Linked DNA regions of Arabidopsis thaliana. The protein of the gene in region 2 interacts with the protein of the main gene of each other region in a pairwise test. Each region holds a gene or a part of one and is shown on either strand. Other genes may lie near its edges.

Region 1 (3,523 bases), on a different chromosome or scaffold from region 2:
GAGAAGCACGTTAAGGAGGCGTGGAAGATTATTCAGGAAGAAGCATCTTACTTGCTTCACAAGTAAATATGATAAAACAGTAAAAGAATAAAACGGTTTTTGCCAACAAAACGAAGCACTTCGGTTTGGTTTGGTTTAATTTGATAATATAATAATAAAACAGAAAATTGCTTAAGTAAGACTTATCAACTTCGGTTTGATTTCGGTACACTTTAGTAAGGTGATCTTTCTTGTGTGTATTTTATCCTCTATTTTTTTTTTTTACCAATTGTGTGTATTTTATCTATTTGGTTTGGGTTTATTTTGTGGTTAATTAATGTAAGCAATGATAATAAAATGTTCTATTTTATTGTTAGACGTATTTTATACCATGCGATAAAATAAAAGACAAATCAACTTATAAGTTACACTTTTTTTTTTTTGGTAAGGGATTTAAAGTTACACTATTAATCGCATGTTTCATTTTTTTAGGGTGAATGTAGCCGTCAAATTACTTATTCACCACGTTTTCTAGTGGGGTTCGACGGATTAACTGGAATAATTTAGTAAATTTTACGTTTGAAATGATTCGATCCATATATTAAACCTACAAAAAATTTCTCCTCAGTGAAAACCACTACCGCTTGGTTGCTTTTTTAAAAAAAAAAATCTTGTATAAACAATTTCATAGGTAAAATTGAAGCGATCGATACAGAAATCGCTAAGAACAAAGCATGAATATTTTGTCATCTATAAATGACTTGCTCAAGAAGACCAATACCATACAGAGCTTTTATTTGAGACATAAAGAAAGTTTATGATATATAGAAACGAAAAGGAGATGATGGTATGCAACAACCACTATATATACAAAGAACCTCATCAATAGTAATTTGTAGGGTTTCTTGTTTTTTGTCGTATCCTCGTATCCGAGTCCAATCTGTGTATTCCGCTTCGAAAACTCTTTTTGTGTTGGTTTCTTATTTAGTCAATGATATAGTATTCTAGAAAGTCAAGATCACACATGTGAAGTCAAGAGCAAAAAGGAATGCACGTGTGTGTTTTGAGCTGGCAACTTGACATTGACGGTGATCATTATTAACGTTTACTTTCTTTACCTTTTAGTATAAAAAGCAACATGTTATGTTCATGCTTTCTTATGCGAATAATCTGGTTGTATTTTATTTCTAGAGACTTCTAGATTTCCCTCATCGTTTTACCGAAGCTCTTTCGTCGAGACTCTTGTAGGTGAGAAGTTGATATCGCGTTTTATGAACGTTATATCAAATTATCGTAATAGGAATACTCTGTTTCGGTTCTCTGCATTTTTACTTTGTTTTACTCATTATTCTGTTTACGTTATCATCAGTGAAACATGAAATTGAAAGCAATTAACTGTCTCATTTTAGTTAACTAAATTTGTCTTGAACTGTATATAATTAAATCAAAGAAAAAAAATACAAAATATGAAAGTGATGACCGGGGATATTCAAAGGGAGACTCTCATAACAACTTGGTATATGAATAAAGACTTAAAGCACTGGAATATGAGTACCTTGTTTCCTTAATTATTGACTCACTGTTTGTACAGAAACCAAAACCAGCACTGCAAATGAAATATATCTTAACAGAACAGAAATAACCCCCAAAAATATTTCAAAAAGCTCGAAAACATATGGTTCCATTTTGTATAGCGTTGCACAATGTAATGCTAAATCAAAAGAGTAGATTAGATATATAAGATAGAAAAAAAAAAGAGCAAAAAGGATAGAACAAAGTATTATAGATAGAATGTCATTGGGCAAAATTAATCCAAGGACTGATACATACAAGTATACAACCATCGTATTAACCTATGAAAAAGTATTGCAAAATATAAAATGATTTTTAAAACAATGAAATTACACCTATCCAATTGTTACGAATGAAACTCAACTTTTAAACACTAAAAAAATGTGTATATTTGCAGTCCAGATTACAAAATAAACCATTATATAATAGGATCCAACTGTATTTTGACTTAAATAAGGTAGTTGAAAATATCTTGACTAAGAAGTATATTTGGTTTACTCGGTGTCAAGACTAATAATAATTAGTAAGTAGTGTATCGAATAAATATAGCAATCGCTTTTGCAGAAAATAAATATCTACTGAACAGATGTATCGTTCTCAAAGGAAAAAAACAACACTAATTGGTGCCGCGTATCTAAAGATTTGCATGGGACCATATGTCTAGTAGTCTAGTACCATATAAACCTTTTTTTGCTTACTCGTCAGTAGTTTCTTTTGAAATCTTCACAACACTTTCAACACTTCTCAGTGACCGTGAGCAACGAATTATTTTCAGTTCAACGACTCCGCGGAAATGGAAAATTCAGAAAATGTTCCCTCTTACGATCAAAACATCAATTTCACTCCTAATTTGACGAGAGATCAAGAACATGTGATCATGGTCTCTGCTTTGCAACAAGTAATATCCAACGTCGGAGGTGACACGAACTCGAATGCATGGGAAGCTGATCTTCCACCTTTGAACGCTGGCCCTTGTCCTCTTTGTAGTGTCACCGGCTGCTACGGTTGCGTCTTCCCACGACACGAGGCGATAATTAAGAAGGAGAAGAAGCACAAAGGAGTGAGGAAAAAACCATCAGGTAAGTTCTATTCTAATACAAGCTTTGAGTTTTTCTAGTACTAGCTAGTTTTAGTTCATGTATTTTCATATATATATAAGCCACGAGCCCATGAGGTAAACTATGTTCCAATACGTTAGCATGCAGTTGATGTACTTTCATAAACCATCAGGTAAATGGGCGGCGGAGATATGGGATCCGAGTTTGAAAGTAAGGAGATGGCTTGGAACGTTTCCAACAGCGGAGATGGCGGCTAAGGCTTACAACGATGCGGCGGCTGAGTTTGTCGGAAGAAGATCAGCAAGACGTGGCACAAAGAACGGAGAGGAAGCATCTACCAAGAAGACGACTGAGAAAAATTAACGGAGAAGGAGCACGTATAGAAAGGCAGGAAGAGGCATCTTACTTGCTTCACAAGTAAATCAGAATTTTTTTGAAAAGTAAAAACGTTATTTTGTTTGGTAATAAAATAAAGTAAAACAAAATATTGCTAACGCAAGACTTATCAAGTTCAGTCGTGACTGTGAGTGTGTTTTTATGTATCTTACTTCATTTTTTGTCTTTCAATTGTGTGTGTGTGTGTGTTTTTTTTTTTTTTTATAATCTATTTGGTTTGGGTTTATTGTGACCAATGACAAGAAAAGTCTATATTTTATAGTTAGACGTATTATATATATCATGAGATAATATACAAGCAAACACAATTGTAAGCATATATAAAAATCAATCAAGTTGTTATGATATTTATGATAACTTTAAACTTTGATTAACAAGAAAGGTAATCCAATAGTAATATTTGTCATACGGTGCCGTTTCACTAATAAATGGGCTTACGTAATACGGACCAACACAAAGTGACGTGGTTTCATTTTAAAGGTGTTACTTATCGTCGCCAATGAGATATTGTCAAGGCC
Region 2 (6,228 bases):
AGTTGTAGCAAAACTGAACTCAGGTTTGTTTGGTATCTAGTTTGATATGCTTGTGAGTTGAACCGTATCATTAGTTACCAATCGAACGAATGAATTGAAACAGACGATTGAACGTAAATAGTCGAAATAATATATTACAAACTATGTGAAACATTAGTTCTTTTTAGCTTTTTATTTTCTTCTTTTTTTGTAGGATTTAAATTTTATTATTTTGTATAGTCAAAGAAAACAATCTGCTTTTATTGCTTGAGGTTTTGGGTTTAAATAATAGAGGAAGACAATGAAAGATTGGAACATTTCGTTCCTATAAATTTCGAAGCATAGACTTAATGTGAAATGGAGTAGCATAAGAGCATGCCTTCCGACATTATATATCCAAAGCTGCTCTCTGGTTATTATGTAGTTAAAGGGAAAATAAGAATGAATATTTTTGATATAACTGTAAATATCATTATAAATGAAAAGTTTAGGAATTACACAAAATAAAACCTAAAGTTTTTGAGACCTTGCCAAAATTAAAAACAAGGTAACAAATAAATGTAAAGACACAAAAGTGAAATCATCTAATCCAAGGTTGCATTAAGTTTCCAAAATGCTTCCTTTGTCGAGGCAAGATAGTGTTGTTGTGAGGAACATTATTTCGCTGCTTCCAAATGTGGTAAAACTGTGGTTTGAACAGCTATCTTTCGGATCATAGAAGGCGCAATAATTCAAATGTATAATAATTCAAGATTATCTTTGTTTCATTTCCAAACGTACCATAGTTTTAACCAAAGTACAAAAAAACAATTCCAGTTCTCTCTTATTATCTCTAACCACTTTTTCAAACTACATTTTCAAAAAAAGAATTCCGGTTCTCTCTTATTATCTCTTAACTAAAACATTAAAACGATGGTTACAAATGGGATCATGTATGTTTTTGTTACAAGTATTGTTTAATCAAACAACTAATTGGTTATAACTTTGATTTATTCGTATGTTCATCATTTAAACGTACATTAACGTTCGATTATTTAACTTTTAAAAAATCAACCAATTACAAAAGTGGCTGCAAAATATCAAATACATTTTATATTTGCATCCAAACTTGTAAAACATTTAATATAATGAAACAAAATTAAAAAATTATTAAAAAAAACAATACATTATAATGAAAAATTGAGTACTATTCTAAACACCTTAAAATTGGTTAAACGTTTGACTGTTTAGGACATTCGATTAGTCAATTAGATGTCTGGTGCTACATTAACTTAATGATATTGCTTCAAAAAAATCTGCAAATTTTCCTAACCTTGTGCGTAATACAAACGACAAGAAAAAACCATATATCATTAATTTATCACATCATAAACAGAGAGTTATAAGTTTGATGTCAAATCATAGTTTGTTGTGAGAAAAGAAAAAAAAAAACATAAACCTTAAACATATATGGGGTCATCAACATATCACTTACTACTACAACATTTGACAACTTGTTCCTTCGGATCATGCATGAGTTTTACTTTTACAAACAGATTCTGCAAACTTTAAAAGAAGTTTCTAATCTCTTCTGAAACCGAACAAGGTTTTTATTAGTTACCTCCAAGCACAAGAAGTGATAAGAGGTTGATTCTTCCATCCTAAATACAATGCTCCATCTCTTTCTTCAAGTGTATACTTCTCTGAATAACTCTCAAGCAATCCTTTGATTGTTGCGTTCACATACGAGCTCAAAGGATACGGTTTAAATCCCGCCATGTGAAACCGAGACCTCCATTTCCCTAGTGGCTCGTGCCTCTCTTCTCTTTCAACACCTTCACAAGCTATAAGATTCACAACCTCTCTAGCCAAACAATGCTGCTCAACATTGATCCTTTCCTTGTGATCTCTAGCGAGTTTCACATCTATTGATTCGAAAACTGCCAAGTAATGGTTCATTGTCTCGACAAACCGGGGAAGAAACGGCGCAGTGTTTGTATTCGCTTCTTGCTCAACCAGAGTCACAACGTTTGGTGACAAGTGTTTGACCAATCTCAACAATCTATCTCTGTGATTCTCCACAGTTACACTCTCATCAGGCATGTGGTGAAGAACAAGCGGGAAGTTAACCGCGAGCGCTTCTCCATTTCTAACTCCTAGCTTCTCGATTTCGACTTCCGTGCAGCATAAAGCAGCTCCATGGAACTCAAACGGAACACCGCACATTTCAGCTAGCTTCCCAAGTCTTTGTCCAACTAACTCAAGTCCTCCTTGACGAGCAAACGATGATCTCGGATCATCAATTCCCGTTATCCTAACGTTCGGAGGTCCACCAGGTCTAGCACCAAGAGCACGGATCAAACTCACCCATTGACCACCTTGAGAAATCTGGAAATCGATAATGTGCACAAAACTTTCGTTCTTCACAGCTTCAGCTATAGCTCCATTAGCAGATTCATAACCGAATTTGAAATAAGGGCAGGCTTCATACAAGATATGCATATAAGTAAGAAGCTCAGGACCCGTTGGGTCTTTGCATCTCAATGCTTTATAGATGGAGCTACCCGAAGAAGCTAACCTAGCAACGAGACCTTCAAGCATATAAGCTCCTAAGCGCTGAACAGGCTCACCAGAAACAGAAACCATTTGCTGTAACTGAGAGATCAACCAATCAGTCATTTCCAAATCATAGTTTTCAACAGCTTTTGCGCATTCATAGAGCACTCCTTTTAAATCTCCCCTAGAGATCATCTCCATAGATCTATACATAGCTGAAGAAACAACTCCATGCTGCTGTCCAAACCCGCCTTGATTGTTATAGCTGTTGTCTACATCAGGCTCCATCATTGCAGTCTCCAAATCTTTAAGCATGAGACTAAGCTCTGTCTCGTTGGTGTTTGTCGCTGAAGAACCGCTCAAGGGAGAGTTATTGTTTTCTTCAGGGGAATGATTGTTAAACCTTGATAAGTTGTTGTTGTTGGCTTGAGAAATGGGACTTTCATTAGAGGAAAAGCTTGTGGTTGAAGAAGAGTTGTTTTTGTTGTTAAGACAAGGATGAGACTTGGTGCCTGAAGAGGATTCAAGTGTGCAGTAAGAATCAAATGTCTGAACAGAAAGGTCCATTTGTTTGACTGAAGATGGTTGATGGTAAAACATTGAAGATCCTTCTTGAATCATATGTTTCTGAGTAGCTTCCATATCTAAATTATCTGCCACACCAAAAAACAGAATCTTAGTTTTGAACAAGATGATAAGAACCCTAAGATTCTTAAAACGGTTGGATCTTTATGTAGATAGATTCAGTTAAAGATCGACCCAATAGAGAAAAATCATAAACAAGATTGAATTCAATTATCATTAGGGAGACAAAGTTGAGAGCTTTTTAACCGTAACTATGAGCTAAGACAACTGTTACATAAAACCCTAAGCTCAATTTTCAACACAGCCCAAACCAAAAAACAAAGTAAGTTGTGTTCTGTAACTAAGAAAATCAAAGAAACCAGAACTCAGCGAAAGCAACCGACATAAAATAAAAAGATGGAAACTTTGAGATCAAGAATCTAACCTGGTTGGTAATAGTTTGCAGAGAGACAGATAGGAGACTGAGTTTGAGAGATTCTTTGAGATTTTGAGAAAAAAGATTTGGTTGATATTGAAGCTTCAAGGTAAAGAGAGAATCGAATCAAAAGAGAAGTGCTTTGTTTGTTGATGATACCACTTGCTTGCCTACTTTCCACCAGGGGAATAATAAAAACGCTTAACCTCATTTTTATCCTCATCTCTTTCTAAAACCAAATACCCCTTTGACTACTCATTTTTACGGTTTTGCCATTGTTGCTTATTTTGTAGCGCGTAAAGAATAAGAATTAAGTACCTTTATTTCTAATAACAGTCAATATTAGTCTGACGAGTAAACAACTGTAATATATAACTGGAAATAAAATAAAATTCCAAAAACAAGTGTCATGCATTACATCACTATTATCTGAGTAATTGAATCATACGAGTATTATATAATGATTTTCATATATTAAATGATGAAACATTTGGGAGTTAATGAGAGTAGTTGAAATGTCGTGGCTGACCATGTTTTACCAGAGTCAAATTGCATTAAGTAATTCAACATGTTTTAACAGTTTTGTTTGTTCTATTAACACACTTTTTTTACCTAGAAAATTCATGGAACCATGCAAGATCAATAGTATGATATATAAATGTTGCGTTTTCCACAATAATAGTATACAAAATGAAAAAAAAAAAAAAAAAAAAAGCGATTTTGTTTTGTCTTTGTGTATAGACTATTTTATGTAAATCCAATCGTTCGAAATGAATGAAACACGAGCAAAAGCAAAATAAAATGGGTTGTTGTCAATTGAGTATAATAGTAGGCTAGTAGCACATGGTTCTTCAAAATATTAATGTTAAATTCTTTGGAATAAAATTAAAAAAACGTACGAAACGAATAATTACGAGAACTTAAGAATGTAAAACAAATCATGATGATGATTGATTATTCTATGTGTGGACGACGAATGCAATAAACATCTCTTTGTTTTACTTTCTATTTAGTAAACCTTGAGTCCTCGATGGCCAATCAAAGTACTATACGTAACTTTGTTTTGGGTAGGGAGTACTACTATACATAATTAATGTAGCATAAAGCATAACGATATATTTTCGCCTTAAAACTGTAAACTTAACCGTAATAAAATTGTGTGCCGCATGTCTAAATAATTCGTGTGTTCATCTTTTAGTGAAGTAATAAAAGGCAAGGGTAAAATGGTCCGCACAGACGCAGACATCGATGAGATCGAAAACAAAAGTAACGAGATGAGACCAAACGTGCAAGCCATGGGTTGGTCCAACACTTATCATTTTTAGGCCTAAAAGTTTGTGATTATTCCCTGCCTTTTTATCCTCCCATTTTTTCTTTTATTTACCAACATATTTTCTTTTTACATACATCAGTGAGATTTTTTCGACTTTTTTTTCAACTTCGTGTTCAAAGATCAGCGAGTTTTTTAGTTTGACTATTGATGCATCATACATTTGTTTAACCAGTGGTACATACATACGATTGATACACTTTTACAATCCACGTATTTACGACAAATGTGAATTAATATTTAATACACTTTATTATTAAATTCAGGCGTCTTTCTTTTGTGAAAAAAAAACACTTAATTATATGCATTCATTCTATAATTACTCATTTCATTATTAATTTCGTAAGTAATTATTTAGTATTATACTACTACCCCGCAGTACCATATTATCAGCTTTGAATACCCATAAATAACTAGTTTGATAACTACAATGGATTGGATTGAAACATTAGTAGACTAGGAAAAATCTCTTTTATATAATACTAGTATTCAAAAACAAAAACAAAAACTGTTATCAAATATACATCCACTTTAGTATGTTTTCCAGTACGAACCGAAATTGGAGTATGGACACTGCATAAGCAGCAGAAATGTGTACTTGAAAGGTTCACACCTTAAGATTTCATGCCGACCAATCGTGTCGGCCCACCAACACTTTAAAGCTCTTTAACCCAATTCCGCGTTCTTTCAGAAGAACAATTTCAGCATTCAACTTTTTGACCTTCCATTTTCTTTTTCTTCATTTTTTTACATTTGATTTTCTCCCCATAAAGTTTAATTTTATCATTGTTTATGTCTTTTGTCTTTTTTATGTCTTTCCTCGAGTAACACTGTCCGAAAATAACAACTCTTAATCGTGCGCAGTCACATAATTTAGGAATAACAAAGTCATCCTTTATAATTTCATTACTAGAATTTTGAAAAGAAAATTAAGAGACTACTAAGTTTTACTCCTAGTTTGACTGACCATATTTGTCGATTAATTTATAAAACATGTTGTTTGTTTGTTTTTAACGGGTAACTGGTGATAAAACAGAAATCTCTAAAACTCTACCGAGTTATATCACATTACTTGTTTAATTGGTTCAGATATTATCATCATCATATAGAACAATCCACCAGTTATGCCTGATTCTTAAAATCAGTTATACCAAAATAATTCTCATATAGAGAGAAAAATAAATTTGGTTGGAACTAAAGCAAATGACAAATCAGTACAACAACGATTACATGTATATATAACTTAAAAAGTTAAAACAAGATAATTGAATGGTTATCCAAAGAACTCTCTCACCTAATAATAATCTTAAGATGCCACAAATCCAAAAAAAAATAATCACAATTTTGCAAATTTAAATACTTTGCTTTGTCTATTCTTGGTAGG
Region 3 (3,567 bases), on a different chromosome or scaffold from region 2:
TTAATAATTCTCTCACACATATTAAAGACATTTAATATTTATGTTAAATATTAATACTCATTTTTATTTTCCCAACAATAATGTATGCAGCATTTTCTACGCTAAAGCAGTCTCAATAATTATAAACATCTATTAATTCAATTTATTCATATATCTTCCATTCATATTTTTGAACTTCATTTAATTGACCATAATTAATAGTCTAATACTCCCACACCAAAATGGATTATATATTCAGACTTTCAGAGTATATATAGCACAGAGAATAAAAATAAAATAATAAAAAAAAATAAAAAATAATATCTTATTATAAAATAAAATATAAATAAATAATATATTTTATCTTCATATAACAATAAAATACTTTAAAACTTATAAAAATAAATCTTAATGAAAGCGTAAAGAGTAATATCTCCCTCTATAATAAATAATTTAGTTTTCAATAGTAAATATAACATTTCCACCTCGCCGTGTATGATCACCGACCATGTCCTTCTCAGTCATCTCCACCGCCGTTTAATTCCTTCTCCGTTTGTTTTACCACGTCTTGCTCGATACTCAGCCGCCGCATCATTGTAAGATTGTGCCGCCATCTCCGCCGTAAGAAACGTTCCAAGCCACCTCCTTGATTTCGATCTCGGATCCCATATCTCCGCCGCCCATTTACCCGATGGTTTTTTCCTTACTCCTTTGTATTTCTTCTCCTTCTTTACCTCTCGGTGCGGCCGTTGTAATGTGCAGCCGTAGCAACCGGCGACGCCACAGAGAGGACAAGGGCCAGCGTCTGGAGGCGGAACGCTTGTGATGATCAAGTTTGATGATGACGCGTCGTCAGCTCCGGAGTTAGATATCACTTGTCGCAGAGCAGAGACCATGATCTCGTGCTCTTGATCTCTTGTCAAGTACGAAGAAGAAGGGTGTGGTGCAACAAGTGTGAAATTTTCGTTTTGATCATTAAATAGAACATTTTCTGAATTATCCATTTTGGTGGGATTAGACTGACAACTATTCATTTTTTCCTGCAAATGGTGTGAAGAACAAAAGGGAGTGAGCATGGTTTTTATAGCCAATGAATGGAAACATAACTGTGATGCTTTTTTTAGCGTTTATGTGGCCTGACATTTTGCTACCATTCGTCTAAATTATTAGTCACATGAATGTGATTATAAAAACGGAAAGGCTACCTTTGTATGTATGCGGAAAAAAATTTACAAAAAGACGATCATACTCGTTTGACCCAAGAAAAAAAAAAGAAAAAAGGTCAAAATGTTTCGCTCGATCATGTTTAAAAAAAAAAAAAAAATAGTGGAAAACACTTTTTATATTAGTTGATTTAAAAATATTTTGAGTGAATTGCAGACTATAATGCGAGTTTGAATTTGATAAGATAACGTAATAGTATAACTCTTTAATCAAATTCACTAATTGTTTTGACATGTTCGAATCAAGAAATTAAAAGCCGCACGTATTTATCAAATTTTGAATTCTATGATATTTAAAAGTTAAATACTGTGTTGTTATTAAATAAAGAAATAATATGTATAATATATAAAAATATATACTATATGGGATTTTTTAAAAAGACGTTAAAAACAAATGTTATATTAATGTTTTGTAAATAAATATCAAAGTTTTTTATAAGATTATATTTGCAATTTTGCATTACACTTATTTCAATCTTTTATTTTTCATTCGTTCTCAATCACTTAATTATTCTGTCAGTTTCATACAGTATGTAATACACGCCGCGTCATTCTCTTAAAGGAGCACGTTTCGAATATACATGTGGGTCTCAACGAGACTTTCTCATGCATTATGTAATACACGCGGCCGAGAAGTTGCTTCATGAGCTAAAATCCTACTGAATTTGATCAATCATATAGTTTCGAGCCGATTATTCAATAGAGAGAATCAAGTAGACTAAAATAAACGCTGACTTCTCATTGCTGTGCACTAATGCATATAGTACTCAAGTTTAACTTCCCTACCAAATTGATATATATATATATATATATATATATATTATTTTTTCAAATTGATAAATTTACATATATGAATGTTTCTTAACAGGCTTAACTTGTATTTTTATATTTATTTGATAATAACTCCATTCTGTAGAAATTTTTTCAGTTTGGAATATTGTCGTTTTAGAAGTTAGTCAAAGTACATATTTGTTCTGTACTAAAAATTAACCAAAAAAATGGGATAGACCAGAATTCCAATTATCACTTAGTTTTGTATGTATGCACGAGTATATCTAGTTTTTATATTGAAATACAAGTATTTTACATTTGAGAAACCGTAAATACAAAAACGTTTTAGTAGTAAGCCGTATAAGGATCATCTTCTGCAAATGGTTCCAAAACTCAGAGAAGAAACTCTTATAGCTTAGAAGGTTTCTCTCTATGTGATTTGGATAGAATATAATCACAGACTATACATGCAACTAGTTTAGATCCTCGGACTAAATCCAGAAAATTAGTGATCGACTCCATCATCAGAGTTTCTACCTTCTGGTTGAGTATCTGCCTCAATAAAGTGCCATTAAGAAACAGAACGAGAATACTCTTCCACAAACAGAGGTAATCATCAACACAAAACAAGCAAAAACAATGATAAAGCACACCACAATGCAAATGTTAAAGGCCACTACAGAGGAGAAGACTCTCCAATAAAATAGAGGTCTTTTACTCAAAACTTTTTGGGCTCTATCTAACTTTTTTTCCATCAAAACTTTAATTTGAAAACCTCTTATTAAAAAAAAAACACACGCAAGTGGTTTCTCGTAAAACATATAACCCATCTAGGTAATGTATTAATTTCTCCCAAAACATCTATTTTTCCCCCTATAAAACGATATATAGTTATATAGCTTAATTTCTCAGTCATCTCCGCCGCCGACTTCTTGGTGAATGCTTCCTTCTCCCTTCTTTGAGCCACGTCTCGCTGATCTTTTTTCGACAAGCGCAGCCGCTGCCTCATCGTAAGCATCCGCTGCCATCTCTGCCGTCGGAAACGTTCCAAGCCACCTCCTTGTTCTTGTACTCGGATCCCATATTTCCGCCGACCATTTTCCTGATAATAACTTAGTAAAGTTATAAACCGATGGAACAAACTCAAAGATGTTGGAACAAAATTTACTTACCTGATGGCTTCTTCCTCACTCCTTTATGCTTCTTCTCCTGCTTAATCTCTTCATGCTGTGGGAATGCGCACCCGTAGCAACTGGTGACGCCGCAAAGAGGACAAGGGCCAGCGTCCGAAGGTGGAAGAGCCTCACTTGCAGCAATGTAGTGAGATGATGACGTATCACCTCCAGTGTTGGATATCACTTGTCGCAAAGTAGAAACCATGATAGCATGTTCTTGGTCTCTTGTCAAGTTAGGAGGTTGTGAAATAGGGGTGAAATTTTTGTTTTGAACATTTTCTGAATAATCCATTTTTTTGGTGTCAAACTGATAATATGTACTTATTTAGTGAATGCGAAGGATCAAAAGTGTTGTCATGAAGATTTGAAAACAATCTATATAGTAGGAAGGTGAAGCCTACCTGGCAGCCAATATCTAA

Evidence for each region.
Region 1: the proteins of SCL5 (region 2) and AT2G20350 interact in binary tests that used the Arabidopsis thaliana proteins (3 or more experiments, as listed by UniProt).
Region 3: the proteins of SCL5 (region 2) and AT5G67000 interact in binary tests that used the Arabidopsis thaliana proteins (3 or more experiments, as listed by UniProt).

Annotation. Positions count from the first base shown.
Region 1 is NC_003071.7:8,782,425-8,785,947, forward strand, and holds AT2G20350 (Integrase-type DNA-binding superfamily protein), read left to right. Parts: upstream 1-2,344; coding exon 2,345-2,630; intron 2,631-2,781; coding exon 2,782-2,972; 3' UTR 2,973-3,023; downstream 3,024-3,523. Other genes in the region: AAS (Pyridoxal phosphate (PLP)-dependent transferases superfamily protein), read left to right, coding at 1-66.
Region 2 is NC_003070.9:18,735,823-18,742,050, forward strand, and holds SCL5 (scarecrow-like 5), read right to left. Parts: upstream 3,828-6,228; 5' UTR 3,738-3,827; coding exon 3,524-3,737; intron 3,514-3,523; exon of another isoform or gene 3,352-3,513; intron 3,168-3,351; coding exon 1,576-3,167; 3' UTR 1,241-1,575; downstream 1-1,240. UniProt on the Arabidopsis thaliana protein: Probable transcription factor involved in plant development.
Region 3 is NC_003076.8:26,746,177-26,749,743, forward strand, and holds AT5G67000 (Integrase-type DNA-binding superfamily protein), read right to left. Parts: upstream 1,106-3,567; 5' UTR 1,056-1,105; coding exon 501-1,055; downstream 1-500. Other genes in the region: AT5G67010 (Integrase-type DNA-binding superfamily protein), read right to left, coding at 2,882-3,075, 3,146-3,440.